Linked DNA regions of Cricetulus griseus. The protein of the gene in region 7 purifies or fractionates together with the protein of the main gene of each other region. This does not show direct contact. Links are inferred from orthologs where the notes say so. Each region holds a gene or a part of one and is shown on either strand. Other genes may lie near its edges.

Region 1 (4,213 bases), on a different chromosome or scaffold from region 7:
GATCAGACAAGATCCCAGCACTGAGAAGGGGATGTGGACACAAAGTTGACCCCTCTCCAAGAAAGTACTTGTAATTGATACCTGTTGGGGAAGAGGAAAGCAGTTTTCCCCGATGCAGTGTCACTGGGTATTATCAACCATACTCCAGGGCAAGCCCCATGTGCAGGAGTAGCTGGCTAACAAAACAAATTCGTGTGTGTGTGTGTGTGTGTGTGTGTGTGTGTGTGTGTGTGTGTGTGTGTGTGTGTGTGTGTGTGTGTGTGTGTGTGTGTGTGTTGTTTTAATGTTTTGTTCTTCCTCCTTTCCCCCTCAAAGTTTGTTTGGATTTTCATTTTTTCTGTTTTTGTTTTAAGGGAGACATTAAGTTGATTGGCTAAGAACTGGGAAGAGTTGGGAAAGAGGACAGAAGATAATCAAAATATACTGTATGAAAAATTATCTAGCCTGGCAGTGGCTCATGCCTTTAATCCTAGCACTTTTGGGAGGCAAAGGCAGGTGGATTTCTGTGAGTTCAAGGCCAGTATAGTCTAGTGAGTTCTACAACAGCCAGGGCTATTCCACAGAGAAACCTTGTCTCCAAAAACCAAACCAAAACACGACACACACACCCATCTAAAAAAGAACAAAAATAAACAAAAAAACAAGGCCTTTTAAAGATAAAAGCCACATAACATACCTATAAGCTAAAACCACTCAAGAGTGGTAAAAAAGCTTATTTCACAAAGGGCATAACAAATCTGAGCATATTTATACCAAATATGGACAAAGCAAAGCTAATGGAACTAGAGAAATGAACAAATGGCAGACTAATATCATTCCTAGTAACTCATAGAAGCAGCACAACACATACAGGCACACACAGAGATAGGGAACTATTTATTCAAATAATACAATGAATAGAACTTATCTAATGGGCTTATAGAAGACCTGAAGTCCTGAAAAGGCAGAATATACATTTTCTTAAAAACAACAACAAAAAAACCCATTATTTTAAAAGGCAAGGAGCTGGACATTGATGGTACATACCTTAATCACAGCACTTGGGAGGCAGAGGCAGGGGGATCTCTGTGAATTCAAGACCAGCCTGGTCTACAAATCAAGTTCTTAGGACAGGTAGGGCTGTTATACAGAGAAACCCTATCTTGAAAAACTAAAACCAAAACCAAAAGCCAACCCACCCCCCAACAAAAAGTAACAACAAAAAGGCAAAGGAATAGCGGATATGGCCTCAAACCTGTTAATCCCAGCAGTTTGGAGGCTGAGGCAGGTGGATCATCCTGGGTGTGAGGCCATCCTGGGCTATCTTAGAAAACAAACAAAAGGCAAGGGAATAATACCAGCATTATTAGTGTGGTGTGAAATGAGCAGGATCCTGCTGGGGAAAACAAAGGAGTGTATAAGCTATAGCGCCCCATTTGTTTTAAGCAGGGGCAGATGCTATATGTTAACTTTACAAACATGCATTTTGTCCCAAGTCTTATTTACTTAAAAATAAATGAAACCATTATCGCTAAAACCCAAAGCATAGGAACATAAAGGTGAAACTGAGAAAAGACAGCTTCATAATGCAATCTTCTAAAAAGCACAACCAACAGTGTACATTTAACAGCACGAAAGGATACAACTTGGGGCAGAGAGCCAGGCTGAAGTTTGCACAGTTCGATGAGCAGTGTAGTGTACATTACATCAATGTGAGGGGGCGCTGGAAGCTGAAACAGCTCTGCAAAAATCACCTGTGAAACAACTCGGAGTCAGAAACATCGTAAGGACCCACACATTACAGCCTAATCCTAAACTCAATGGCACCTACAATGGAAAAAGAATTCCCTTTTATTCTGAAAAACTATGCTTTCTGAGACCTCCAATTCAACAACATAATGAGCAGCCCCCTTTTATACACAAAGAGTCCATTAGATGAAAGCTGCTGTGACCCATTACTGCTGAGACAATGTACAATAATCTATCCTTTGAAGTCTCAGAGTTGACTGAGGGAGGCATTTTATCTAGGGGCTCAACCAATGGAGCAGAATTCCTGTGGGTATTGAGAACTCTTGGTGGACCAGGGATCAAGACAGTTGAGTATTTTATACTGCTACTGAGATTTAAAAATATGACTTAGAGCCATGTGTGATGATGGCACATGCCTAGAGTCCCAGCAACTCAGGAGGATAAGGCAGACGGGTCGTAGTTCCAGGTCAGGTTGGGTGATATGATGACACCCAGTCTTTTTGTTTTTGTTTTTTGATACAAGGTTTCTCTGTGTAGCCCTGGCTATCCTGGATCTTGATTTATAGACCAGGCTGGCTTCAAATTCAGAGATCCACCTGCCTCTTCGTCCCAAGTGCTGGTATTAAAGGCGTGTGCCACTTAAGAGGGGAAGAGAGGAGGGAGAGGGAAGCTGAGGCCAGCAAGATGACTCAACAGGTAAACGCTCTGTATTTCAATCTCCGTTCTTTTTACTAGCAAGGTTAATTGAGAACACAAACTGTGGAGATTTCCTTGTTTCTCTATTCATTCTCAGAGCCTGATAAGTAGCAAGGAGCGCACAGACAAACCGTCCGCAGACAGACTAAGAAAACAGAGTTAGAACGGCATGAAATGCATACCTCAACTATGTGGTAGTTCAAGGGGATCTTATTCTTCCCTGGATAGCTCACCAGCTGTGCAGCACTGTAAGAAGTTTGACTTCAGTTAGTAAGGGTACAAGACACACAAACCCTACCAGCTTCAAATGCAGTGAGCTTAGCTGAAAAACGAACTTTGCTGTAATGTTCTAGTGTTCAGTTATTAACATGGTATGAATTGTTTGTCTTACATACAAAAAGGAAATTAACACCAGCACCTGCAGATCTACTAACTTAGCACATTCTTACAGGTGTTCCACTCTTCAATACAATGTTTCTCCTCAAAAACTAAGCCAAAAGTTTCCAGCTTTATGAAAATGTATTAATACTCAGGTTTCTGAATGTTAGAAAACAGAAAAAAAGCATTAGTACGCTTTAATTTCCATACATCCAAACTAAAATCAGACTACTATTCAATTTTAGCATATTTGGAATGTATGTACCCGTGTGTGCATGAACAGGCATGTGGAAGTCAGAGGTCAAGAGGTCAGTGTTAAGTGCCTTCTTCAACTGCTTCTCTATCTTACTTTTTTTTTTTTTTTTTTTTAAGATTTATTATGTATACAGTGTTCTGTCTGCATATATTCCTGCACGCCAGAAGAGGGCCCCAGATCTCATTACAGATGGTTGAGCCACCTTATAGTTGCTGGGAATTGAACTCAAGACTTCTGGAAGACATGCCAGTGCTCTGAACCTCTGAGCCCCTCTATCTTACTTCTAATACAAGGCCCCTCACTAAACCTGAGGTTCAGGGACTGGAAAAGGCTCAGTAGTTAAGAGCACTGGCTGCTCTTACAGAGGACCTGGGTTCCATTCCCAGCAACCACACAGCACCTCACAGTTGTCTGGAACCCTTTTTCCAAGTGATTCAAAGCCCTCTTCTGGCCTTTGAGGGCATCAGACACGCAAGTGATGCAAGAGACATACATGCAGGAAAAATACCCATATACATAACACCTGGGGTTCACAGATCAGCTATGACTGGCTGGACAGCAATCTCTAGGGATACTCCTGTCCCAGCATCCCCAGAACTGAGATACAGGTGAGTGCCAACTGTTTACATGGGTTCTGGGCCCCTGAACGATGCTCCTCATGCTTGCCAGGCTATCTCTCCAGTCTTATACATGCCCAACATATATTTTGGTCTTATAAAATCATCAAAATGGTTTCCTACCCCCTTTACAAGTACCATGAAGAGACTCTCACCAAGTTTTCCTTTCCTTCCAGTAGGATTTTATGATGCAGTGAAGATTCTCCTCTATGACAAACCTCTCCACTGAATGACTCCCTGGCATAACAGGACCCTGGAAGGAAGAACAAATGAACTCACACACAGAACCACAAAACAGATTTCTTTCATTTATTCAATAAATACTTGCATCTAGGACTGAACTGTTTTGTTAGGTACCTACCACAGAATCAAGAATGTATTGTGCCCCTGAGATATCAAATACCCACCATGCCTATTTTACAAATCAATTTTTAAAAAAATTTTAAAAACCAACTCATCTCTTTCTCTCTAAAAAACTCTTATCATCTATCCATCCACCCACCCATCCATCATGTGTGGTTGTGTGCCATGGTACATT
Region 2 (4,213 bases), on a different chromosome or scaffold from region 7:
TTAATTAGGAACTTTTTCTAAGAGTTTGGTTGTTGGAAATAACTTTTTCAATAAGATGTTACAGCTAATTATTTTTTAGTTAATTGTTTGTACTACCTTACCTTTGCCCTCTACTAAAAGACGACCTGAATTCTTAGCTGTTGATTCATCTACATAGGAGCATGTCATTGTGTTGTTGAAGTCTCTATGAAGAAAATGTAATGGGTTTCTTGTAGCCTATCTGCAGACATTTTTCTGATTTAGGTTTCATAAAACTCTTTTCTTCTCTTAACTTAATGTAGCTGGATCCATTTCAGTTTAACTGATGCATTTGGTATTACCTATGAAAGAGCAAGGGGTGAGGGGGTGGGGAAGGGGACCAGGTCACTTGAGCATTAGCAGGTTTTGGTGGCAGCGAAGTGCTGGCTGTGCTTTCAGTGTAATCACATTGCCTGTGCCTGGTACATTGTCCTGCAGATGTGCAGATTAAAGGGCTAAAGGTCTTATGACTGACAGGGACTTCAGAGAGGTTGCTTTCACCTCATCTCATATGCCATCATGATGTTATTAGCGCATGCAACCAATTTACAAAGGTTTTGACGCTTATAAGGCTGACTTCCAGAGTGATTGCTGCAATATGCTGCACTGTGTGACTTAGTTTAGTTTAGTTGTGTGATGTTTCTAAGTGGTTTTCAAACATAGCTGTGTATCTTCTCATCTGAAATGTTCATCGCCTCATTTGTGAAGCACATGTGGTTCTATGACAGACTTACAAACTATTCCTCCATTTCTCTTTCTTCTTTCCTCCATTTTCTTAATTTTTTAGTCAGTGCTTTGAGAGAGGCTGTTTTCAGGACAAGTGTCTTATATATGAACAGCTTATCCTATGCCCTGTAAGAGTCAGTTGTGTGTTTGCATTGCAGAAACTTTTTAGAAACGTCAGAGGTTTAGTTTTTTGAAGTTGGGTAATTATTAAAAGACAGTATTATTTCATTTTGCAAATGAGATTGTCCAAAGGTACCTGTTTTCCTCTGAATATCAATTTTGTTTTGTTTTGTTTTAGTGAGTACAGCTCCACAGCAAAAACCTGTAAGTATTTTACATGTATATTCAGCAAAAGAGACTATTCAGTGTTGAGCTTCACAAACTATGTAGCAAATGTTCTAATCTTTATTAATTTAAAAGTTGGCATGTTTATAAATGCTCTGTTCTCCCTCTCCCCAAAAAAGCTTGACTTTTTGTGTGGGACTAGTCAAAGCTATTATAAGACCAGTCTCTTCCTGTGCTCCCTGGGCTGCATTTGGCCAAGTTCAGTGAATTGCAAGGTTTTAGATTAAGTTTAAAAGAACCGTTTTAAAATTACTTCTGCTTGGCCTCCAAGTATCTTCTTTGACAAAACCCTTTTAATTTTTTTATAGTTAGCTGTGTAAGTGAGCATTATATATTCTGTGGATGTGCTGTCTTAAAAGAGAAGTCAAGTCTGGTGAATTGTTGCCAGAAAATCCAAATCACTTTTCTTTTTCTTTTTCTTTTTTTGGTTTTTTGAGACAGGGTTTCTCTATGGCTTTGGAGGCTGTCCTGGAACTCGCTCTTGTAGACCAGGCTGGTCTGGAACCCACAGAGATCCGCCTGCCTCTGCCTACTAAGTGCTGGGACTAAAGGCATGTGTCACTACTGCCCGTCGCAAATCACTTTCATAGTTTTACCCTGATCTAAGGATTTGGGCTTATGGGTCTTTGAAACTTTAAAGGTATTCATTGCCAGTATTTTCTAAGACATATGGCTGTAGCTGAAGGTAGGCAAAACTGTGGCTTTTCTTTTTTTGTCCTTTTATATTATATGTTTATTCCTGAAAGTTCATGTTATATTGCCTATCAGTCACAGCTTGGTATTAAGAGCCAAATGCAGACAGTGCTGTTTGCCACCTGTCTTGGTAGGTGTTTGTTTTTGTTGTTAAGAGTGAGAGTCATTCTGGATATAGGCAGCAGCAAAGAAAGGTTGCAAGAGATTCTTGTTCAAGGTGCTCGGTTCTAGACTTTCTAATGGAAGTTATGCCCCCTTAATGGCAAGACCAACAACATGAGCACAATCCTATCCTAAGGTAGAGTTTGTGATCATAACTGAGTATGATATGAAAAAGCAGAGTTGGAATTTGCCGTGTTGCCAGCACTTACACTCCTAAACAATGTTTTAAGAAGCAGCACCTAACCTATGGTACTTTCTTTACCATGTTGTAGATAGGAAAAATATCTAAAAACAAAAAGAAAAAGCTGAAAAAGAAACAGAAGAGGCAGGCTGAGTTGCTGGAGAAACGCCTGCAGGAGATCGAGGAATTGGAGCGAGAAGCTGAAAGGAAAACCATAGAGGAAAGTGTTACCACTGCCGAGCCATCCAATGAGCAAGATGATGGGTGTCACCTGGAGGGGAAACTAAAGGAAGCAGAATTCGAGGAGGCAGCTGAAGGAGAGATAGCAAAGGATAATGGTTAGTACAACTGGGAGCAGGGGGGAGGGCTAATGGGTGGGTGTCATGGAACTGCACGAAAGGCCCAGCCAGTGTGCCACACAGGTTGGCTTCATGCTGCTGCCTCAGATGTTAAGGACAACTTTCTCTAACTCTTGTTGGAGATTATGGGAAGCAGCCTATACGCCATCGGTAAAATGTATGCTAGGCATTATGTTGACATTTCAAAGTAGGTTTTCAAAAAGGGAAGAAGAAAGTCCAAGAAACATGTTTTTTTCCTGTTAATGATGCCCCTTATTTTATTTTGTGACTGACCTTTTGCCTAGCTTTAATACACCACAAACCTTATTCTAAAGCTGTAGAGGAAAGGGTTAGTGACTCAAAAAAATGGATCAGTGTTCCTGCAGAGGAACCAAGTCCGGTTCCCGCAGCACTTGTGTCCTGTTGCTCACAACTCCCTGTGACTCCAGCTCTAAGGCCATAGGCATGCGCGCGCGCGCGCGCGCGCGAGCACACACACACACACACACACACACACACACACACACACACACACACACACACAATTTACAGTGAAAATCTTAAAGATCAAGTACAATAACCATCTGAGGAAAGCAGTGGGGAGGGTTTGAAATGAAAATCCAGTTTTGCTTAGCATTTTACCCCCCAAACCAACTTGTTCCTGAAAATATAAGGCTAATTATTAAATAAGCAAAAAATAGGGTTTAGAAAGCCATTTTTGCCTTTTAAACCAATAGACATGTTCTGTGGTATATTAGAAGCATCTCTTAGTTGGGTATGATAGCAGATGCCTTTAATCCCAGCACTTAGAAGGCAGAGGCAGGTGGATCTCTTAAGCCTGGTCTACAAAGAGAATTCCAGATCAGCCAGAGCTACAGAGAGAAACCTGTCTGGAAAAACTAAAACCAGAAAAATACAAAGCAAAGTATGTCTTGTTGAAGAAGCTAACTAGTACTGCTTTGCAAGGAGAGTCATGACTCCTAATTTTAACCCTATGTTTGTTAAGGTGAAGCTGAAGACCAGGAAGAAAAAGAAGATGCAGAGAAGGAAAATGCTGAGAAGGATGAAGATGATGTTGAACAGGAACTTGAAAACCTAGACCCTACATGGATGGAGTCCCCTAAAGCCAATGGCCATATTGAAAATGGTCCATTTTTATTGGAACAGCAGCTGGAGGATGAAGATGATGATGAAGATGACTGTGCAAATCCTGAGGAATATAACCTAGATGAGCCAAATACAGAGAGTGATTATACGTATGGCAGCTCCTATGAACAGTTCAATGGTGAATTGCCAAATGGACAACACAAGAGTCCAGAGTTTTCCACATCATTGTTTTCTGGGCCCTTAGAACCTGTGGCCTGTGGTTCTGTGCTTTCAGAGGGATCACCACTTACTGAGCAAGAGGAAAGTAGCCCATCCCATGACAGAAGCAGGACAGTTTCAGCCTCTAGTACTGGAGATTTGCCAAAAAGTAAGTGTCCTTGTATCTCTCTCTCTGTTTTCACTGAGCAGGGTCATACCTTTGATAAACACTGTGAAAAGAGTTGGCTAAAGGGGAAGAGACACTTTAAATATGCACTAATCCTTTAATTTCAGTGCTTTTGTATTCAAGAACAAATGGAATGCTTTAGCTGCCAGGGTTTCCCTTACTCTCTGAAGTCCTATCCCTGGACATTTTTCATTTATTATATATTCAGTGATATCAAATACTTTTGAAACACCTTCACCACTAACTACCTTATGGGTT
Region 3 (4,839 bases), on a different chromosome or scaffold from region 7:
CTCCTCAAGCTCCCACACATTGCACTTACATAGACACATACCTATAAATAAAAACAGAAAATGTAAAAATAAAATTACTCTTAAAAGACATTTTACTAGGGGGCTGGAGAGACGGCTCAGTGGTTAAGCGCTCTGGCTATTCTTCCAAAGGTATTCATTCATTCATTCATTCATTCATTTATTGGTTTTTCGAGTCAGGGTTTCTCTGTGGCTTTGGAGGCTGTCCTAGAACTAGCTCTTGTAGTCCAGGCTGGTCTCGAACTCATAAAAGATCCACCTGCCTCTGCCTCCCTAGTGCTGGGGTTAAAGGGTGCAACTCCACCACCCGGCGTCTTCCAAAGGTCTTGAGTTCAATTTCCAGCAACCACATGGTGGCTCACAACCATCTGTAATAAGATCTGGTGCCCTCTTCTGGCCTGAATGTATACATGCAGGCAGAACATTGTATACATAATACGTAAAGCTTAAAAAAACTTTAATCTTCAATACATGTAAAATACAGAAAACAATCTTGCTGTTTTAATGTCTGAAATAAACATACATATATAATTTATATTAATTTATATATAATTTAAGAAGATATATATGTAAAATTTAATACCCCAAGCAATTTAGGTCTATAGTAGTAGACATATTTTATAGATGAGTAAGTTTCAGCCCAACAACTGTCATGAGTGAAAGTTAGAATAATGATTTGAACTCAGGTTTGCCAATATAACCATTGCCACAAATATTACAGCACAATAGGACTGCCAACTGTATGGGGTGGGGGATATTTGAAAAGGAATTTTCAGCTTCACAAATATTTAATTGGTACCAACCAAGGCAGTGTTAAATGAGTGGGGTGTGGTGGAGCACACCTGTAATAACTATAGTACTTTGGGAGGTAAAGGCAGGAGTTAGCAATAGGTCAAAGTCAGCCAGCCTCAGTTATATACAAGGTTTTAGGCCAGCCTGGACCATGAATCACTGTCTGAAAAGAATGACAACAAAAACCATAACCAACCGAATAAATAAATCAATAAATAGTCAAAATGAAAAATAAGGCATAATTGGTGCCCCTTAAAAACACCAAATGGCCAAAAAACTTGTAGATAAATGGCTCAGTTTGTAAAATAAATTTGGACTTGCATTCAGATCCCTTGTACCATGTTTTGGCTGATGCAGTCATCTATAACCACAGTGCTGGGAGTGAAGTGGAGTGGTACAGAAAAGTACCACTTGGAGAGGGGGGGGTTTGTCTAGCCAGCCTAGCTAAAGTTCAGGATCACTTGAGACGCTCTGACTTAAAAATAAACAAGTTAGGTGGTACAGCCTTAGAAGCATGCAATCTTGTCTGCCTGTGTGTGTGCACACATAGACAAACCGATTTGGGGTATAGCAGTAACTAAATAAGCCGAAAATAAACAAACATCCTTGTTACTTAAAGTTTGTGGTGATGTACGCCTTTAATTCCAGCAACTCAGGAGGAAGGAGGATCTCTTTGAGTTCGAGGCCAGCCTGGTCTACAGAGCAAGTTTCAGGACAGGCTCCAAAGCTACACAGAGAAACCCTGTTTCAAAATACCAAAATTGTTAATCTATTTTTCTGTAAGACTGGAGCCCAGAGGCTTGCATCTTTGAAGCAAATAAATACTCTACCACAACTCCAACCCCAGAAACACTTTAATTACTTTTTACGGGAAACCGTAAATTAGCAACACAACCATCCAACAGACAATCCAGGCACACACTCAATTTTAACTTAATGAAAGAAATTTTAGAGAAGAGTAAAAGAACAACAGAAACCTGTACCTGTTGCCTTAACGGCTGTGGGTCTGGTGGTCATGACTGGTTTGGGAGGGTTCTGAACAACTTTGGGAACCTCCACCACCACTTCCTGTTCATCTATATTTGAAATGAACAAAAGGAAACGGCAGTGAGTCGGTGGACCAGAGAAAACACGAGAGGCAGAGACAAAAATAAAAATCTGACCTTTCAGGCCTGGATTTCACCAACTTACAAAACCAAAACCAGTGTGTATCACTGGTCCAAACTCGGGGGGGGGGGGATCTAGAATCTTCCATTCATTTAAGTGACATCGACAGTAACCTGAACATTTATATGAAAATGGCACCTGCAATACTCAACAATTAAAACGCATAAATAAATCTGTAGGTTTCCACACAGTATGTTCTTGCTACTTGATAATGGTACAGCTTCTCCCGCATCTACACCCGGTAGGAATTGTTACTCCTAACCCAAATACAGTTCCAGGGAAACCCACAGGCTTTGTTACTTTTCTACAAGTCGGCGGGGGGGTGGGGGCACCGATGCTTTGTCTGGCATAAAGAAAAAAAGGGTTTGTTTCCTTCTAAAGAGTGGCTGTCTCAATTTCAACAAAACCGAAACCAAGTGTGACAAGCAGAGAAGGCTAGGCTCAATTGCTTCAATGCTCCACGTGGAAACTGCCCTCCTCCTCCCTCTGCGTTATCAAGATCGTAGGGGGTCATGTGGGAGACATTTGGGGTGCCAGGCCTCGGTGGATTGCACAGGTTCCCGGGGAAAAACCCTGCACCCGCAATGGCGCCTCAGATGAGCGCGGCCGGGCCTTCCGCTGCCCAGAGTCCACGGTCACAGTCCCGCGGATTCCAGGTCCCAGGCAGCCCAGGCGTATCTCGCCCGCCAGGGTCACTCTTCCTCACTGGGAGGCCTAGGCCTCAAGCCCCGTGCTCGAGTTTCGGACGTCCCAAACACAGGCAGGGGCACCTCGCGCGCCCTTACCTTCCGAAGGCGAGTCCTCTGGAGCAGCAGTGGAAGGCACCGCGGGCGACGTCGCGGCCGCCGCCGTCGCAGCCGCAGCCGCCGGGGCTGACTGGTTGGTCGCCGCTGCCGTCGAGTCAGCCTCAGGATCCGGATCGGGGTCGGGATCCCGGCCCGGCGTGCTGCTCCGAGGACCCGGTGGAGAGAGCTGCAGGATGGGCCTGCGGCCGGGTACCGCCCGGGACTTCTTCCCCATCGCGAGCCCGAGCGCGAGCAGCGAGCGTCGGCAGTCAGGAGGGGCGGGCGCACGGGGCCCCGGTGCGTAATCAATATTCATGGACCACGGCACCGCCTCCCGAGGAGATCCGCTTCTAACCGGCACGGTGCGGAGCGCCTGCGCATGCGCCCTGAGCCCGGGCGCCTTTACGGACGCTCCGCCCCATCCACGGAAGGGTGGGCTTTGTTCAGGGAAACGGCGATTGGCTGTTTTGACTTGAGAAGGAACAGGTAGCCAATGGCAAAGGGAAAAGACAGGACGTCCAGCCAATAGTGCGGAAGGGCCCGCGTTTGTGCGACTTCCTCCAGGAGACGGGGTTTCGCCCTTGCGCTGTTTTCTTTAGCGCTTTGTCAGCCATCTTGTGGCTGTTTTCAGCTGTTTGTCATTTAGGAAGGTAAAGATGTATTTCACCCTTCTTCAAGGTTCCCTTGATCACTGTGGCTTCTTCTGGGTGTAGTATTAAACAACAGTTATGACGCTGGGTATTTATAATTCTGTAGACCCTTAAAACGCAAATACGATGTGATTAGTGGGAAAAATGACTGGGCCTTGAAAACGACCAAACTATTCATATGGGTACAGAAATCTTACCTCATCCTGCTTTACTTATCTTCCGAAACACTCCTTTCTGCCCTATTTCTAAATCCTTCACTTGTGTCTGGAGGAAAAACCTGGAGACTGGGGACGTTGAGCTCTTTAAAGTCTGAGACTTGTTTGCCTGCAGAAGTGACCTCCGGATCCCTAGAGGCAGGTGACGTCCAGAGCAATTAATGTTCTCCCCAGAGATAGTTGGCAAGCAAGATAATGCTGATTTTTTTTTCCAGGACTCACTCCTAGCATTCCTGGTTGCTTCTGGACATATAGTAATGACACACATGGTCTATAAGGTTGTGGTGTGCTTTACTACAGGAGAGCTACTGAAGTGTTCTCACGGTACTAGCAGAATTAGTGTAAGAACCCCCGGAAGCTCAGGCCTCCAGAATCTTTTCCCAGGACCTCGACCACCCCAATCACCATGAGGAAGCGGAAACTTGATGCAAACAGCAAGAGGCTTTAATGAAAGGTGGACGTTTGTACAAACGGACTCTCTCAGCATGCAGGCTAGAGAGCACCCCTGTCCCCCAGGCACAGGTGTTTTTAAAGGCAAAAACCACAAGCTTAAGGAGGGGCATCACCAGAGTCATGGGTTCCTAAGAGGCCCTTTGTATTGAGGAGAGGGCTGGGAATCAGATGGCCTCCTGACCCACCAGTTGTAAAACCTGCAGACCTCAGAATATGCTTATCTTGCTTGAGCAAATGGTAGCTATCTCTTTGTTTCATTGGGACCCTTAATTGTTAATTATTGACACATTGGCCAGTGGGGCAATCTGTCTCCTCCATGAGCCCCTTGGGGAGGGTGGCCATCTGGGAATTCTTGGTACCCAGTTATCTTATGGCCTTGTAAGCTGGCAAATTCCAGGCCCTAAGTCATAGTTGAAAGGTTCAGGCATTATGCTGGCCTGCCCCTGTTACCTGGTGGAATCCACTCAGGCAATACCCTGGTCAGCCCAAGGTTCCATGGGAAAGAAGTCTGCACGCAGGTGCAGAGGACCCCTTTAAAAGATAGGCCCCTGCACCTTTCTCTCTCTCTCTCTGCCCCTTTACGCTCGCGCTCTCTCTCTCTCTGTCTGTCTGTCTCTCTCTCCCCCTGTTCCTGCTCTCTGTCCCCTTTCTCTGTTTCCCCGCTCTGTCTCTCTATGGCGACCGGCCATGGCGGTCAGCCATTACCCTGTTCCTCTTCTTAGTCTCCCCATTCTACCGGGCCTTATAATAAACTTATAA
Region 4 (4,213 bases), on a different chromosome or scaffold from region 7:
TGGAATTATCAACAGGCATGTGACAGCTGGTCAGTACCAGTCTTTGGAGGACTTCCCTATACAGTGTTCTGGAAAATACAAATTTCTTTTACAGTATCATAGGCTGCACCTATCTCCCAAATTCTCACTGACCTCAACTGTTCTGTGTCTACATAAAGGAAGCTATGGGCTGGGAACCTCCCGCTCACCTGGTGCATAAACCTCATCATCACTCTGTTTCTCTCGGATGGAGCGATCCCGCTGCTCCAGCCAGCGGGGGTCAAGAAGCCCAATACGCATGTGCTCTTGCATTTTGCTGGCAGGAATCTTCTCCCCAGTGATGGGGGATACAAGATATTCATCAGGAGCAGGAGCTGGAGGAAGGGGCTTAGAAGCTAAAAGGAAACAGATAACTAAGTGAGAATTCTGGATAGTAGCTGAGGTTAAGAAAGCAATACATTCAAACATCATTCACTGGAAACATCTCTTTAGTGCCACTTTTACACCAGAAACCTGAAACTGGAAATGACTACACTCTAGTTTCTTATCAAAAGGCTTGTAACCTAGGGGTTACCTCAAGCCCTCCTAGAAACAGCCCACCTGAAGAACACACAAGACCATGCAGGACTTTCTTTAGCAGCACAAGGACTGGGACACAGGCCCTACCTTTGGGATCATAGTCCTTTCGCACAATGACTTGGTCTGGAGTTGGGGGCAGAGGTGGAGGCATGGGTGTCTCCGGGGGTGGAGGCACTTTCTGTCCTTCTTCATCATCATCTGAGCCCTAAAAAGCAAAGCAGTAGCATAACTCAGGAGATGAAAGGGTGCGTCCCCAAAGCTCAAGACTGTGGCTCTCAGGGTGGCAAGGAGCCTTGGTCCCTGCAGCCAGCATCCATGTGCTAAGCCTTCTGGAGCAGCTGAGGTCAACTGGCAGCAAGCCAAGCTGTTTCCTCACAACATGAATGGGAGCATCAGGGACCATGGTGCTAACACTCCTCCCAGGCATTTCCAGCGGCTGGCACCAGGCAATCCCAAGAGGCCAAAGGCACTTAACACACAGAAGAATACAGGAGCCAAGTCAGCGCTCAATGGTAGCTGCTCCCAGAGCAATGCTGGGAGGGAGAGAAAAAGTCAATTCCCACAGACACTGGGGCCCTTTCTTCTCAAGCTATACACAAATTCTTTCAGAACAGGGAAAGCAGCTTGGCTCAGGATTCTGTGCCTACTTGGAGGACTATGCTGGAAGAGGGTAGAAATGTCTGAAAGGACGTGTAGGCTACATTTAGACAAGCTTGGGAACTAGTGATCCTTTAGGCCTGAGTGCTAGAAAGGCATCAAAACACAGGGTGATATGGATCCCTTAACAGGGCTGGTGGAGGGTGGGTTGGGATCAGGGATGCCAAGCCAAAGGGAAAGCAATAGACTACAAGGCTGGCACAGCTTCGAGATCTTTCCTATGAATTGGTCTTTGTTGCTGGAGTGTGTTGGGCTGCCTGGACTTAAAACAGCAGCAGCCAGTCTGGCCTTCTCCAGAACTCAAAATCTTTTGAGTCTCAAAGAGCGGAACCTTAGACCAGGAGAGCGTCCCCCAACTTCCTGGTCTCCAGGAGAAAGATCAGGTTAAAACCACCTGAGAATTTACCTCATCCATGTCCTGTACTTGAGTATCCTGGTCCAGTTGGGAAGGAGCCTCCTCAGCCTTTTCTTGCTTCTCATCTTCCTCGTCAGACTCAACCTCCATCTCCACTTCCTCACTTTCCCCAAACTTCTCATAGCGCTCTTGAATGAGGATTCGGGCTCCCAATTCCTCTGGTGTTGTTGGGGGTGGGAAGTTTCCTAAAAGGGGTAAGACGGGGTCAAAAGCATTCTGAGTTGGGTATGGTGTCAAGCACCTTCATTCCTAACACTTGGAAGGAGCGCTGAGGCAAGTGGATTTTCTGTAAGTTTGTAGTCAGCCTGGTTTTACACCAGTTCTAGGATAGCCAGGGCTACAGAGACCTAGCTTGATGATTATTCTTGGTTGTCAACTTAACTACATCTGGAATTAACTAAAACCCAAGCAGCTGGACCTGTGAGGAAATTTTTTTTTTGGACTAATCATTTTAGGGAAGAGCCAATCTAAATCTGGGCCACACCTTCTTTTGGAAGCCATGGAAAGAAGATTTTGCTTTTTGCCTACTTGCCCTGACTCTTGATGGAAAGCTTGCCAACCTGCTACTGAGGCATTCTTTCCCTAGTCAGGATTCCAAAGATAATGAAGACCAGCTAAGACATCCACTCTCCTGGACTTTCTGTCTAGAAACAGCCATTGTTGGACTAGCTAGATCACAGCCTGTAAGTCACTCTAATAAACTCCCCTTTTATGTATACAGATTCATTCTATCAGTTCTGTTCCTCTAGAAAACCCTGATTAATATGCCCTGTCTCCTAAAAAAAAAAAAAGAAAAAGAAAAAAGAAAAAAACAAAAACAAAGAACACAATAACAAGAAGAAATTCCTTGTCCTGTCTGTGAGCTACCCAAAGACTAGGAATTGTCTAATTTTATTATCTGCAGAGGACATCAGAGTCTAACATGGTAACCAGCTGATGAATTGCATTTAACTTGGGCAAATGAACGATGTTTCCCCTTCTGAAACAGAGGGAAAAAACAGTAATGAAGTCCTGTGCCTGGTTCTGCAGCTCCCTGGGAGCGCCAGAGTTCCTGGAGGCGTTCTCTTCTCGACCTACCTACCTTGCTCATTGGGTTGGAAATCCACTGTCTCCACCACGACAAAATCATGCCAGTCGATCTGAGCATAGGCCACCCGCTCCTTCTCTTTCTCTTCTTCTTCCTTCTTTCTCTCACGCTCCTGGAATTTGGCCCATTCTACTCGATAGCACACCTGTGAGGATAGAACATAGCAAGGTGCCTCCAATGATGCTTCAGGGCATTGCCTTCAGACCAAGATGCAACTATGCTCACAAGGGGAAACTTTAGTGTTCCAGAGTTGGCAAAGGGCTCCAGGCTCACAGCCGCAAACTCTCTTGTAGTAAATGTGCATGAAAACCTAGTAAGTGGTACTGTAAACCTTGTCAAGAGCTGCAAGTGCCATAGGCTCTAGGGGGAACCTGTCACCTTTTTTGTCTCTTTTGTTAGATAGTCATATTGTTAAAGTGTTCAATGTTTATATCATGATTGGTTCTCAACAGAGCAACTTCTTATTAAACTTTGTGGCAGTTAAAGCAGGGACTATGATCAAATGCAAAGACCGGTCGCATGTCAAGGGTAAATGGCAGTGGTGATGTGCAGCCCTTAAGAGGACATTCATATCACCCCTTCCAAGGCTCAGTGAATATTTATAGGCCAGGGAGTAGAAAGAATGTAAGAACCAGAAGATGGGGAAATGTACAGCAAAAAGACATCTTCTGGACACAACAAAGCCTTTGTACTCATCAACTCACTGCAGCTGTGGTTACCTACACAATACTGGACCCATTAGCAGTTCATCACAAATGGAGGATGGGCATTCCTCCTTGAGGAAATACTGGCAGTGAAGGGTGGCTTAGGTAAGGGTGTCATTTTCTTTAGTGGTGTAGTCACTGACAGGTTGGCCACACTCCAGTAAATAATCTCTCATCCCATGTTTGTGTAAGCAACTCCAACAAACACAGTAGGGCCACACAAAAGATGAAATGAAAGGAGGAGACCTTATTGAAAAGGGTTTCAATGGAAGAGGCAAGGGAAATGAAAGAGTAAGGGGAGACGAAGATATCTAAAAAATAGCATATACTTGTATGAAGCTATCAAAAACTTTTTTTGTGGGGGAGCACTTTGTGTTTTTGAGACAAGGGTCTCACTCTGTATCCCTGAGTGGCCCTGAACTTATTCTGGGATTAGAGGTGAGACACAAACATTTTAAAATATTAAGAAGAAAACCTGGTATATACAAAAGCAGCCTCAATCTAAGAGTCTGAAACAGCCATCTCACAGTTAAAACAAACCAGCACAAACCACGTCTGCTCAATTGTGAGAACCTGGTGACTTCAAAAGACACCTACTACCTCTCTCACCCGAGGATCTGCTCGGGAGGTAGTTTCTGCCTGAAGTAGGGAAGAGAAACCCGCTAAACTTCTGGATGGCCTCTGTAGTCACAAGGTCTTTCTTCTCAGCACCCTACAACTAGGTCCAGGCTGACTAGCCCTTTTCTGAGATGCTTTGGGACCAGAAGTATGTCTAATTTTGGAATATTTTCA
Region 5 (4,213 bases), on a different chromosome or scaffold from region 7:
AGTAACAAAACCAAAATCTATTGAGTGGGTTTACCTTTCCTCTGTGTTGGCGGATACCCTTCCATAGAGGTTTGAGCACAGAATCAAAAGATTCGATACCGTAAGGAGTTGCTGCTTCAGCCAAAGCAGCAATGGCCAAAGCACTGATGGTCCGAACTTTCTGCTGTTCATCCACAAGACCTATACAATCAAACACAGGTGTGAGCAGGCACCAATACCTAATTTTCACAATACAATCCAAACTTTATCATTGTATCTAACCTTGTATCCAAACTGCGAGAAATGTTACAGTAGATAAAATTTCAGCAAAAGCAGTTTATTAACAGAAAATATTATAAACCCCATTTCAAAAATAAAGCATTTGTATGGGGAAGCCCTTTCAGTTATTCCCCACATCCCAAACAGTAAACAAAAATTCAGGACAGTCTGATCTATAAAAGATAAAACTTACCATGTTCAATGATTTCAACTAAACTTCTGAGATGTGGCAAGATAGCACAGCCCATAAGAATAGCTATCTGTTGTACAATCTTAATACCAGTGTGTCTCGCCTGCCAAGACTTCTTGCTTTTGCACACAGCTTTTAAGAAGGGCAACAGAGAAGGAATGCCCAGAGCAGAGGCTACAACAGCAAAAGCTCTAGCTGTTGTGTTTCGGACATACTCATCCATGTTATCTATATCAGGCCTCATGGTAGAAATCATAGTGGCCAGACCAGCAGCCTAAAGAGAAAAGATACAATAGCTTCAGTTAATACCATTAATCCTCCACACATCAAAAGACAAACTTCCTCTTCTAGGAACTTAATGTGAATACCTTTGCCAAATTAGAAATAATCTCTCGGCCTTCCACTCTAGCATAGTAATCTTCATCAATCAGCAATGGCTCGATAACCACAAGAATCTGAAAAAAACACAAGGAATTATGTTTCCACACCAACTTACAGTTATCAAGGAACTTTGTTAACCGATGGGTAGGTTAAAGAATTTTAATTCCATACTGTCAAGCCCTAGATATAGGTGAAAATTAAATATAAACTAACATTTTATATTTAGAAATATATAAGCAGTCATAATATTGATTCTTTATTCTGATACAAAATAAAATACCTATTCTAATTCTTACAAGAGTAAAGAGAGCAAAAACCATTTACATATACCTATATTTATAAATGTGATGCTTCTGAAAGGAAAAAAGAGATCGGTGGTTGTAATAATTACTGTTGATCGTCAATTTGGCAGGATCTAAAACCACTGAGAATGCCTTGCAAACACCCACCTAATTGTGAACTGCCTGGGCAGCAGCACATCCTGTACTAGAGTTAGCATACATCCATACATACATAGACACAAGGCAAACCTCAATAATTTGGTGAGACCCTTTCTCAAAACCCCTACAAGATCACAGGACAGACTAATTCAACACTGATTAACTCTAAGGAAACTATAAATAGTAAAATTTTCTAGACTATGCTTGTATAGAATCAACTAAAGTTTTTTAACTTTTAAAAATAAAAGGAAAAGAGCTGAAGAGATGAGATGGCTTGGCAGTAAAGACACTAGCTGCTCTTCTTGAGGACCCAGGTTCAATCCCCAGCAGCCACATGGTTACTCAGACATCTATAAATCCAGTCCCAGTGGATCCAATATCTGTAAATCCAGTCCCAGGGGTTCCAATGCCCTCTTCTGGCTTCCAAGACAACAAGCATGCAAGTAATGCAGGCAAAGTATCCATATACATAAAGTAAGTTTTTATAAATACAAAGACAATTTGGTAAAATAAACCTGACTTTTTATATTGAAAATTTAAAAATATTGAACATCTGGGCAGTGATGGATAAAAGCACTCAGGAGACAGAGTCAGGTAGATCTCTGTGAGTTTAGAAGCCAGCCTGGTCTACAAGGCAACAAAGAAAGACCTATCTCAAACAATGCCTCTCCACCCTGGGGGAGGAGGGAACTTCCAGATTCCAGACAGTGGAAAATAGAACCCCCAAAATAAAAATTAAACCACTGAACACTACTTGGGGAACAAACCAACCTTGTGCACATATGGCCGTACTAAGTCATCAAGTTTATACAATATTCTATCAATAACTTTCACAAGCAAATGACGTTCTTGATCCTCAAGCGTAGGAGACATCAACAGAGGAAGAATCTGGTTAAACAAAGGTCCAGCTCCAAATTCTCGAGCTTTATCAGTAATCTGACGTAAGGCAGCCTGGGGAAAAGCAGAAGGAAATGAAAATATTAATTTTCTTTTATGAGCAAGCATTCATATGGGGCAAGTTTCAACAGGAATATTTTAATGTATACTTATGCAGGCAATTTACATATAGTAGTAAGAATTCATTTGTCAAAATTGTTTTAATGTTTAAACTCACATGACTCAAGTTTAATGTTATCAGCTCATTCAAAAAAGGTAATTAATTTAGTGGCAGGTGAGATGGCTAAGAGGTAAAAAGGAGCTTATCACCAAGTTCAATGACACCCACTTCAAACCCTGGGATCTAGACAATGGAAGGAAAGCACCAACTTCCAAAAGCTGTCCTCTGACCTCTCTGTTTACTCTGAAGTATGCATCCACCTGCCTGACTGCACACGCAAACTCATGCATGTATACACTAAATAAAAGAAAAAAGGGTAATTTATAGGGCTTGTAACATTCCTCAGAGGACAAAGGGTACTGGCTACTAAGCCTGACGATCATCTGAATTCAATCCCCAGAACTCACTTCATGAAAAGAAACGACTGATTCCTGCAAGTTATCACCCTGTATACATGCTCATGTTTTTTGAAAAGATAATTTAGTAGAGCTATAGAACCACATAAGTGTATACCATATATCTTGGCTGAGCCTGAAGAGCCTTCTATAGTCAAACCACATTTGGTGCTAATAGAACTCACATAATTTCCACTAATCCACCTCTATTTCTAAGCACTTTCAAGTTGTCAAGGACAAAAAGAATTTAACATCCTCATGTCCTTATCAGAACAAAAAAAATCCTTTGATAAAAATAATTCAATCACTGAGTCTAGAGCCAAAGTCTGTAATCCCAAGCAGCCACTCCAGAATAAGAGTGGCCTGCCTGATCAAGCTTAAGGCAATGTATCAGAGACCACATAAAAAAACAAAAACAGTAACCAGAACAGAGTGTCTTTTTGTTTGTTTTTGTTTTTGGAGACAGGGTTTCTCTGTGTAGCTTTGGAGCCTATCCTGGCACTCACTCTGGAGACCAGGCCTGCCTCTGCCTCCGGAGTGTTGGGATTAAAGGCGTGCACCAGCATGCACCTTTAATCCCAGCACTCCGGAGGCAGGCAATATCTGTCAGTTCGAGGCCAATCTGATCTACACAGCTAGTTACAGGACAGGCTCCAAAGCTACAGAGAAACTAAACTCTGCCTGGAAAAATCAAAAATAAATAAACAATTTTATGGGCTGGAACTAGGGAGTCAGATGTGGCACACACCTCTATTATTGTTTATTAAAGGTGGCATACACCTTTAATTGCAGCACTTGAAAGCCAGAATGGCAGGTGATTTCTATAGGTTCCAGGCCAGCCTGGTCTGCACAGTGAGTTCCCAGAAAATCAGGACTATGCAGAGAACCTGTTTCAAAAAACAATAAAAACAGAACTTACCTTTCTCATTGGAGGTGTACCATTCTTAATCTTTAAAAGCAACTTCATTATCTTTCTCTCCTTCTGTTCTTCTGGACTAAGTGTGGATTCATCAACATCAACCTATAATAAAATGTAAAGGTGGATCAAGACAGTGATTTGTAACTCCCAAACAAAGAATAATACTTTATTTCTGTTAGCATCACTTACCAATAGTTTATCAAAGTACTGAATGTCATCAGGTTTTAAAAATGGAAGATTCCCAGACGGCTGGTCATTGACACTTTTCATAGTTCTGTCTTCAGTTTGCATGTGGAAACCAGTCATGCCACCCAAAGGTGTGGGTGTTGCTGTCAGCTTTCGAGCTGGAGTTCGAATGGGAACATAACCAGCTGGAGGGGGAAGGACCTAAGAGAGTTATAACACACTTTAGCAGGACTGCTTTGGCTTTACACAATGAAAGACAACATAGTAGCATTTACACTTAAAGACATCTTTGTAATTTATTAGCTAGCAAGTTTATTTACCTGAAGAAAACATATGCCACAGTTCAAAGTTAATTAAAAGTTAAGAAGATATTTATGAGAAACACTT
Region 6 (3,878 bases), on a different chromosome or scaffold from region 7:
TCTGGGCACTGAACAGCCTCTCACAGTGGTTAAGAGCAGGTGACTACAGTGCCAGACTGTCGTGTTCTATCACCTACATTCTCTTCTATAAAGTAGGTGCTATTAGAAATACACCTCAGGGTTGATGCAAGAGTATTAGATGAAGTTCTGAGAACAGTTGCTGATATCCTATGTATACATGATTGCTATAATATGCAAACTCTGATTCCTCTTCATTCATACCCTAACTCAACAGATACAAACATGTCATCAGTTCTCCAGTAAAGAACCTGGCTGGATTGTGGTGGCACATGTCTGTCATCCCAGCATTCATGAGGTTAAGACCACAAGATTTCCTTGACTACATAGTAAATTTGAAGCCAGCCTCGTTATAGACAATACATAAAGGATATTATATAAGACCCTGTCTCAAATAAAATAGAGTGTGAAAGAAAGAGAAGTGGAGGAGAGTGAGAGAGAAAGAGAGCAAAGGAGAGAGAGAGGGAGTGAGAAGAGGGAGAGAAGGAGAGACGAGACTGATCTCTGAAGCCAGCATAGTGGCATATGCCTGTAATTTCAGTACTTGCTGAAGCAAGAGGGTCACAAGTTTGGGATGAATCTTGGTAAATAGCAACACTTTGTATAAAATGAAAAAAAAAACAACAATAACAAAGGAGTAATATCTATAAGTATAGTCAGTTTCAAAAACTCAAGACAATTTAAAATAAACCAAATACAACATTAAAAGAAAATATAGGGGCTGGAAAGACAGCTCAGCAGGTAAAAGCAGTTGCCATTCAATCATAAGAACCATACTTCAAATACCAGCAGTTCCTAAACACCTGTAACTCTAGTTCCAAGGGATCCAATGCCCACCTAGTCTGGACTCAGAGAGAGAGAGAGAGAGAGAGAGAGAGAGAATGAATGTGTGTGTGTGTGTCTGGATTCCTAACATGTAGCATATAGACACACATGCAAGCAAAATAGCCACACAAATAAAATATTAAATTTTTTTCAACTTGGTGTGGTGATACATCTGGGATTCAGAAGGTTTGTTTCCAATGTAAAAAGGAAAACAGTAAAAAGAAAAGGAGGGGGGAGCCAGGTGCTGGTGGTGTACACCTTTAATCCTAGCCCTCAGGAGGCCAAGGCAGGTGGATCTCTGTGAGTTTGAGGCCACCCTGGTCTACAGAGTGAGTTCCAGGACAGCCATCGCTACACAGAGAAACATGAGAGGAAGAAAGGGAGGGAGGGAGGGAAGGTGGGAAGGAGGAAGGGAAGGAGGGAGGATGGAAGGATGGATGGAAGGATGGAAGGAAGGAAGGAAGGAAGGAAGGAAGGAAGGAAGAAGGAAGGAAAGGAAGGAAGGAAGGGCAGCAGGGCAGGCAGCAGGCAGGCAGGCAGGCAGGCAGGCAGGCAGGCAGGCAGGCAGGCACTCCTCATAACAGAAAGTACAACATAGCAAAGGGAAGTAAACAAGAGAGATGTCTGTTGCTTTATTTTACCAGTACTCAACAGTGACAGAGGCAGCTTAACTGTAGGAAGAGAGAAATGTTCTATCTGGGTTACATGTTTGCTACTCCAGCCCGACAGGAGACATACACAGGTGGTTACCTTTTGAAGCAGGCGGTGTGAAAAACCTGTTCTGACTGTGAAAAGCACCCCGTCCTCCTCGATTGCCTGAAAATCCACCTCGAGAGGAAATCTTCTGTGACACTTTAAGTGGCCGTTTCGGTGGGGGTATTCCATCTTGAGGGACCACTTCTTTACTTTCAGCTGCAACAAAGTCATCCACGTGCATAGACGGTGGCCTACTCGTGTTCTGTTTTCTCTGACGAAAAATATCATGGGGCCGGATGCCCTGTCCAAATCCGCCCCGGCCACGGCCCCTTGGTGGTGGCACAACATGAGCACGTTTGGCAGGCTCGATGTATTCAGATTTTCCACTGTTAAGATAAAAGCACTCTATGGGAAAATGTTTCTTTTTCAGTTTTCCAGTGAAAGTGTCCATCTTTGCAATATTAAAAATGGAATCTCATCTTTGATGCCTCTACTTACAGGAACTGTTTCAGTAATATTACTTTCTGTGATAATATAGCAAACTAAGTATGCTTGTTTGTTGGTAAGACTAATATTTTTTAAACAATCTAGGCAGTCTGTTTCTTGCTCAAAGGAAGAACAGTACAATGAGGGCTCAGTGGAATCAGGAAGTACAATGCCCTGTGTTCAAACCCCAGCAACAGCAGCAACGACAGACAAACAGAATGTACTAGTAATGCCCCAACAAATTACTCACTTTAAAATCTCCGATTACAATTATGCCAGCCAAGGTGGCACATGCCTTTAATCCCAGCACTCGAAGGCAGACAGGTAGATCTCTGTGAGTTCAAGGACAGCCTAGAAAAAGTTCTAGGACAGCCAGAGAGCTACATAGTAGAGACCCTGATTCAGAAAAACAAAAAGAGGAGGGGAGCTACAGATATGTGTCTATCTTAAAATAAGGTCTGCCATGGAATGAATTTTACCTTGAAGTTATGAACGTCTCGTGCTTATGCTTCCCCAGTTTAAATCCCTTAGTAGTCTTGGTTCTTCCTGGAGATGACGGCTCTGACAAAAATGAGCGCTCTAATTCTGAGTGCAAATCAAAGTCACTACAGCACTTTTCAGAAAGTTCAATCAAGTCAACCTTTACCTGCAGTCATAAAAATAAAATAAAATACATTAAATTTAAGTTCCTGAAACTTTCACTACAGAAACTGCCATTACCTACAAATTCTATTACCTTCTCATGGTAAGCCACCATGTCTAACCAAAATTCAGTGTTTCAGTCACACTACTAAATTTTAATTTTCTAACAGTCACACAAAGCTACTGGCTACTATTCCAAAGCTGGAAAAGCACAGAACATTTCTACTCTTATACAGAGTTTACTGGACAGCACAGTTCTAATGAATCAAAAAAAAAAAAAAAAAAAACTAAAAATAAATTCTTTAATGCACTTTTAGTTATAATATGTGTATTTTTTTTCTTAAAGGAAAAGCAGCTCTCATTACACTAAACATATATTAAATACAAATTGCTTCATTCTTTCAGTTCCATTACTCAGGATGAACACTAGTATCTTTTGGACAAGGGAATACCCAAGCAGATTTCTTTGATAAAGAAAATAACCAATATAGAAGTGCAGTAAGATGTGGCTAAAATTCTACAGAAATACACCTCTGAGAAGCATCAAACAGTAGGTCTTTACACTCTTGAACCGACAGCATTAAGAACATCAATTACATTAATACTATAATACACTCTACAAGTTCCCAGAAGAGACCAAACCATCCTCTCCTTGAACCCAGTGAAGAACAAACAGCTGTGTCTGCCCCACCAGCATAAAAAGACCATGTGCTTCAGAGGATGTATGCAAGAATGTAATGTTTTTCCCTCATCACAATCTCAAACTAGCCTGAAGCAAAATGGACAGGATGAAAAAAATGAGTTCTAGATTTCAGTAAGTGGGCGACTGTCACAGACATACATGATTCTGCCCTCAAATGGACCTTAAGAATATATTATAAGCTGGACACTGGTGACACATGCCTATAATCCCAGCACTCGGGAGGCAGAGGCAGGTGGATCTCTGTGAGTTCCAGGCCAGCCTGGTCTACAGAGCAAGTTCCAGTACAGGCTCCAAAGCTACACAGAGAAACCCTGTCTAGGAAAAAAAAAAGAAAAAAGGAGTATATTATAAAAACTATTAGAATGCTACCAACACAAAAAGAAGCAAACAGAAACCAACTTTTTCTAAAAGTTAGTAATAAAATCCTTCATACCAAATCTAGATCTGTATCAATCTCTTCAGCCTGAAATGGAGTAAACCACATAGATTTTAACTGGTCATCCATGAC
Region 7 (4,659 bases):
CCAGTCATACAAAATTTCGCTTTCCTTCTGGCAAAAACCCCAAACTCCACTATAAGTTAGAAAATCTTGTTTCTTGCATTGAACATTATTCTGTTTATCTAACTGCACCTACCATACAAATTCCAATAGTTTATTTGAAGGGTTTAGGGAGGTATCCCCCTCACCCCTGTTATAAATTGGGATCTCTGCCATCCAAGTGATAGGATTAAAGGCCTCCCACCATGCCCGGCAGGATCTTAAATTTCCAAAAGCCTGAGTGTTAACATTTTGGTCCCTAGGGATACACTACTAAGAGATACAGGAATCTTGGTATAGGAATTTTTAACAGGTAAGGCCTAGTAGTCAGGTCTTCTTTGCTCTCCAGTATTCAATGAGAGGTTAAGCGCCTTTGTTCTATCACTGGTCACTACCTTACTAACTGAACATGGTCTAGATTCTACAATATACCAAACTGAGAGCCAAAATATACCTTTTCTTGCCACCCCCTTTTTCTTTCTTTTTGAGATAGGATTTCTCTATGTATCCCTGGCTGTCTGGAACTCTTTTTGTAGACCAGCTTGTCCTAAAACTCACAGAGATCTGCCTCCCTGTCTCTTGATTGTTGTGATTAAAGGTGTGTGCCACTACATCAACTTAAATCTTTTCTCTGTATGAGTTCATCACCTCATGCATTGTCATAGTGATGGAAAACATATATTCTTCCCAATCCTGCAGAGTGAGAAAGGATAAGAGGCTCTCACAGGGCTGGCATTCAGCAGCCTATACACCACACACTGTACTATACGGCTGGGACACTTCTGAGACTACAGCGGCCATGATTAGCATCCACAGGATGCATGATCAGGGCTGCCATGGTGCAGAGTTACATTGCAGAGGCCCTGAAAGATTTTCTGAGAAAAGGCACTGCACTGTTCTTCCTTCCCATGGGACCTCCTAGGATTGTACTACTGGAGGCCACATTCAGGTTAACATGTTTCAGGGACAACTACAAATCTGTGTGTTTTTTGAAAAACCACTCTAAATCATACCTTTAGAGCAAGAATCATACAGGGAATCAGGAGATGGCTTGATTTCCAGCCCTGCTCTAGGAAGGCTCACTGTCTCTCTAGGTGCCAGTGTTCTGAGACAAATATTGTGTGTTACCCTATGCTGGATGAAGGGAACTATATGCCCTATCAAGTGTAAACAATTAATTGAGGGTCCTTCAGTCCAACTCAATACACTTCCATGTTTACAATCTTTGACCAACCCATCTTAGCCAATCACTCAGTAATGTGGGACTCTCACAAGTTTTAGAGCTAATCTTTAGTCCTCCAATCCAAAGTGGTGAACCTGTTCAGTGGGTGGAATGACTCAAGTCTTTCACTGTTTCTTTCCCCTACTGCACTTGACATACCTGAAAAATACTTGTTAAATAATTGACAAAAATCTCATTAAGCAAAGAACTACCTGTTGCATACTAAAAACAAAAAAGTTGCCTAATTTGTAAAACACTAGAACCAGAGCTCCAGAGCCTGTCCTCTGCTCTTGTCTCAGCAGCAGCTCTGGGAGGCCAAACTGACTTCAACCACACCACTAACGGCAGAATAGTAACAACACATTCTCCTCAAAGTTGGGTCACTGAGGAACTGCTACAAACTACTTAAGAGCCTGGCCTAGCTAGGCACTGGTGGCCGACACCTTTAATCCCAGCGCTTGGGAGGCAGAGGCAGAGGCAGGTGGATCTCTGAGACCAGCCTGGCCTACAAGAGCTAGTTTCAGGACAGCCTCCAAAGCCAGAGGGGTGTGTGGCTATTAAAATGAAACCAATTAATTCACATGCTTACTACTGAGACAGGTGTTTCAAGTGGACTTCAGCAAAGGTGGATCAATAACAAGCACAACTTCTGGGAAACTGCTTTCTCTTTTGAGACAAAGTCTCATTATGTAGTCCTGGCACTATGTATACTCGGTCAGCCTCCAGAGATCCTCTTGCCCTTGCTTCCCAAAGGCTGGGATTAAAGTTGTGGTATACCTTGCCCAGCTGTGGGAAACTACTTTTAGCAGAGCAGATCCTATGTTGATGTCTAAGTTCTATTATACCTGTTTAAAATCCTCATTCATCGTTTCAGTGTATACAGCAAGAATGTCAGGATTGTTGATAAGCACAATTCCAAATTGACTTAAGCTCAACCAAAAACTCTTTGATAAGGAGTAGTCACCTTGAGATGGTGTGTAAATGACAAGATAGCTCTTTAAAAATGAGCAAGGCAAGAGCTTACCTGTTGAGTGTTCTGAAGTAAATCCACAAAGTTCTCTTAAAATGTTTTAGTATTCCCCACCTACAACTGGAGAGAAGGTTCAGGCTTTGGGACATATTGAACTGGTTCCAGAACTGGCTGGGCTTCATAAGTGCTCAGATCAAACACATTCTCCTCTCAGGGGCTGGGAAATGGAAATTAGCCTAGGGGTTGAGAATCTCCAACCCCTGCCTTGGGATAGGTAATGTGGAGATGAACCAGATGCTCTCTTTCATTATCCCCAAATGGATCTGAAGAATTACCTACTCTTGCAAGTAAGTGCTAAACAGAACTCATTTAAAGCTACTATTGTGTCCGGTAAGCTCAGCTGTCAATGTACACGGGGAAAACTAAATTTCCAGCAGTAGCGAGACTTAAGTCTTAGTTTCTTTCCAGCACTACAATTGTTTGGCTACTTTACGCCAAAGACTCGGTGTCTCTGAGCTCACAGTCCAAAAGGTGAGGAGGTTATACTTCCTAAGAGATCGGACCTCTCGGGGCACCTGTGCACACTTGAAGTTGCGAGAGCATGTTGTTGCAGGAGGCTCCAGAGAGCTCAAAGTTCCCCGTAGAGCCCGTCGACAGTCCAGGCGAGCCTCCTCCCCAGCCAACCTGCGTGCTTCACTCCCCTTTGTAGGCGGCGAACATGTGCCACGCCGAGTGGCCCGGAAGAGAAATGACAGCTTCAGAAAACCAACTTCACCATGGCAGACCGCGGCGCGCTAAAGTCGCCAGGACGTCCCAGGCCGCAGCGGGCTCGCGCCTGCCCGCTGTCCCGGGCCGCGCTTCGACCCGCGGCTGCGCACAGCCGGGGGCGCGCCCGAGCTCGGGAGGCGGCGCCGGGCTCCCGGGCCTCGCTCCCGCCGCCGCTTGGCGGCCTCCTTCTTACCACCCGCCGGCCCCGCTTACCTCAGCGCGAGGACGGGAGGCGGCCACGGCTCCGCTGAGATGGGAGCAGCGTGGACAAGACGTTCCTCGACCTTTCCGCTTCTCACTGACTCTGGCTTCAGGCACGACGCGGGCGGAACAAACGGGCTCCACTACCCGCGGGGGCCGGCCATTGTGCGACGTCATCAGGCCGCGACGGCCGTACTGCGGGCCGGCGGGCTTCCCTCGCTAGCCCCGCCCTCCTCGCGCTTCCTTCCGGACTCTTGAGGCCCCTCCTCCGTGGCGCGCGCTCACAAGTCTCCGCTTCTGCGCACGCCCACCGAGGCCGGCCGGCTTTCTAGCGAGCCATCTAGCGGCGCGTGCGCAGAGTCTCTGGATTTCTGGTGGTAGCTTCCCGGGATGGGGAAAGGCTGGCAGCGGGCGGATCGTGACCCCCGGTAGGGAAAGTCCTTTGTAGCTCTTGGTCTGCGCGTGTGGACACCCCAGTGCCTAAAAACTTGGGATAGGTCTTTGCCAGGCGAGAATCTCCTGTCTTATTAAATGTCAATGCTTGACCAAAAGTATTTTGGAGACTGGAGTGTAGCTCTGAAGTAGAGACAGCTCCAGGTCCTGGTCCTCGCCTCCCGCTCCCCCCCCCAAGGAATATTTGGAGATATTTGTAGAGTTAGAGTGGCGCTAAATATTCTTGATTTCGTTAAATATGATTACCATGACCCAGTGGAATCCCCCTGGGGAGGATTTAAGCCGTTGAAACGTTTTTTACAGTCCCCCCCCCCCCAGCAGTGCTCTGTTGCTGCTGCTGGCCTAAACCCCCTGATCGCTACTGACAAAGTGTGGCGCGGTCATTGGGTACTGGCCCCTTGAAAATTTTGGAACTGGTTTTGGGCTTACATGCTTGGGGGCTGCCTGTCTTCCTCGGACAACTTCAAGGAAAACAGCCCAGATGCCCATAGCTGTTCCATTTTTACAGAGGAACATTAATTCAGCCACAGAAAGCAATGGTCTGACACATGCTATAAGCACAGAGATGCTATAAGAACCCTTAAATGGTGCTCAAGAAAAGCCTAGTCATGAAACCCAAGTGGCTGAGTACCTGTGAGGGATTTTTCTTGATTGAATCATTTGAAGTGGTTAGACCCACCTTTAATCTGGATCTTTTAAGGTGAGAAGATCCACCTTTAATCTGGGCCACACCTTTTGGTGGCAGCCTATGTAAAAGACATGGAGGAAGGAAGCCCTTGCCTGCTTGCTCCTACTCTGGCAAGTTCATTTGTTCACTGGCATTAGGGCCTACTTCTTCAGGATTTCAATGAATACTGAAGACCAGTTGAGACATCTAACCTTGACTGAATCCAGCCCACTGGATTCTTGGACTTTCCGTTGTTGGTAGGCGGCCATTGTTGAATTAGCTGGGCCACAGCATGCATGCATATATAGATCCAGGTGGATTTTGAATTTCCCTCCTGTTCTCTATGCTCTCCACCCCACTTGT

What was found.
Region 1: the proteins of Zc3h18 (region 7) and Ncbp1 purify together in Homo sapiens (co-immunoprecipitation; 3 studies listed by BioGRID and IntAct, with this or other methods). This does not show direct contact. The link is inferred for Cricetulus griseus from reciprocal best matches to the Homo sapiens genes ZC3H18 and NCBP1.
Region 2: the proteins of Zc3h18 (region 7) and Srpk2 purify together in Homo sapiens (affinity purification with mass spectrometry; 3 studies listed by BioGRID and IntAct, with this or other methods). This does not show direct contact. The link is inferred for Cricetulus griseus from reciprocal best matches to the Homo sapiens genes ZC3H18 and SRPK2.
Region 3: the proteins of Zc3h18 (region 7) and Fnbp4 purify together in Homo sapiens (affinity purification with mass spectrometry; 3 studies listed by BioGRID and IntAct, counting the BioPlex papers as one, with this or other methods). This does not show direct contact. The link is inferred for Cricetulus griseus from reciprocal best matches to the Homo sapiens genes ZC3H18 and FNBP4.
Region 4: the proteins of Zc3h18 (region 7) and Sf3a1 purify together in Homo sapiens (affinity purification with mass spectrometry; 3 studies listed by BioGRID and IntAct, with this or other methods). This does not show direct contact. The link is inferred for Cricetulus griseus from reciprocal best matches to the Homo sapiens genes ZC3H18 and SF3A1.
Region 5: the proteins of Zc3h18 (region 7) and Sf3b1 purify together in Homo sapiens (affinity purification with mass spectrometry; 3 studies listed by BioGRID and IntAct, with this or other methods). This does not show direct contact. The link is inferred for Cricetulus griseus from reciprocal best matches to the Homo sapiens genes ZC3H18 and SF3B1.
Region 6: the proteins of Zc3h18 (region 7) and Virma purify together in Homo sapiens (affinity purification with mass spectrometry; 3 studies listed by BioGRID and IntAct, counting the BioPlex papers as one, with this or other methods). This does not show direct contact. The link is inferred for Cricetulus griseus from reciprocal best matches to the Homo sapiens genes ZC3H18 and VIRMA.

Annotation. Positions count from the first base shown.
Region 1 is NC_048595.1:97,267,536-97,271,748, forward strand, and holds part of Ncbp1 (nuclear cap-binding protein subunit 1), read right to left. Parts: intron 3,929-4,213; coding exon 3,831-3,928; intron 2,671-3,830; coding exon 2,607-2,670; intron 1,734-2,606; coding exon 1,623-1,733; intron 1-1,622. UniProt on the Homo sapiens protein: Component of the cap-binding complex (CBC), which binds cotranscriptionally to the 5'-cap of pre-mRNAs and is involved in various processes such as pre-mRNA splicing, translation regulation, nonsense-mediated mRNA decay, RNA-mediated gene silencing (RNAi) by microRNAs (miRNAs) and mRNA export.
Region 2 is NW_023276806.1:171,082,737-171,086,949, forward strand, and holds part of Srpk2 (SRSF protein kinase 2), read left to right. Parts: intron 1-1,042; coding exon 1,043-1,068; intron 1,069-2,216; coding exon 2,217-2,463; intron 2,464-3,469; coding exon 3,470-3,937; intron 3,938-4,213. UniProt on the Homo sapiens protein: Serine/arginine-rich protein-specific kinase which specifically phosphorylates its substrates at serine residues located in regions rich in arginine/serine dipeptides, known as RS domains and is involved in the phosphorylation of SR splicing factors and the regulation of splicing.
Region 3 is NC_048599.1:86,026,369-86,031,207, forward strand, and holds the start of Fnbp4 (formin-binding protein 4), read right to left. Parts: upstream 3,100-4,839; 5' UTR 3,079-3,099; coding exon 2,763-3,078; intron 1,887-2,762; coding exon 1,794-1,886; intron 1-1,793.
Region 4 is NW_023276807.1:100,716,081-100,720,293, forward strand, and holds part of Sf3a1 (splicing factor 3A subunit 1), read right to left. Parts: intron 2,863-4,213; coding exon 2,712-2,862; intron 1,816-2,711; coding exon 1,622-1,815; intron 764-1,621; coding exon 646-763; intron 375-645; coding exon 189-374; intron 1-188. UniProt on the Homo sapiens protein: Component of the 17S U2 SnRNP complex of the spliceosome, a large ribonucleoprotein complex that removes introns from transcribed pre-mRNAs.
Region 5 is NC_048595.1:409,446,534-409,450,746, forward strand, and holds part of Sf3b1 (splicing factor 3B subunit 1), read right to left. Parts: intron 4,028-4,213; coding exon 3,830-4,027; intron 3,743-3,829; coding exon 3,641-3,742; intron 2,221-3,640; coding exon 2,041-2,220; intron 904-2,040; coding exon 817-903; intron 723-816; coding exon 452-722; intron 181-451; coding exon 35-180; intron 1-34. UniProt on the Homo sapiens protein: Component of the 17S U2 SnRNP complex of the spliceosome, a large ribonucleoprotein complex that removes introns from transcribed pre-mRNAs.
Region 6 is NC_048595.1:125,649,748-125,653,625, reverse strand, and holds part of Virma (protein virilizer homolog), read right to left. Parts: coding exon 3,804-3,878; intron 2,672-3,803; coding exon 2,505-2,671; intron 1,926-2,504; coding exon 1,594-1,925; intron 1-1,593. UniProt on the Homo sapiens protein: Associated component of the WMM complex, a complex that mediates N6-methyladenosine (m6A) methylation of RNAs, a modification that plays a role in the efficiency of mRNA splicing and RNA processing.
Region 7 is NC_048596.1:199,022,761-199,027,419, reverse strand, and holds the start of Zc3h18 (zinc finger CCCH domain-containing protein 18), read right to left. Parts: upstream 3,331-4,659; 5' UTR 3,189-3,330; intron 2,328-3,188; exon of another isoform or gene 2,262-2,327; intron 1-2,261.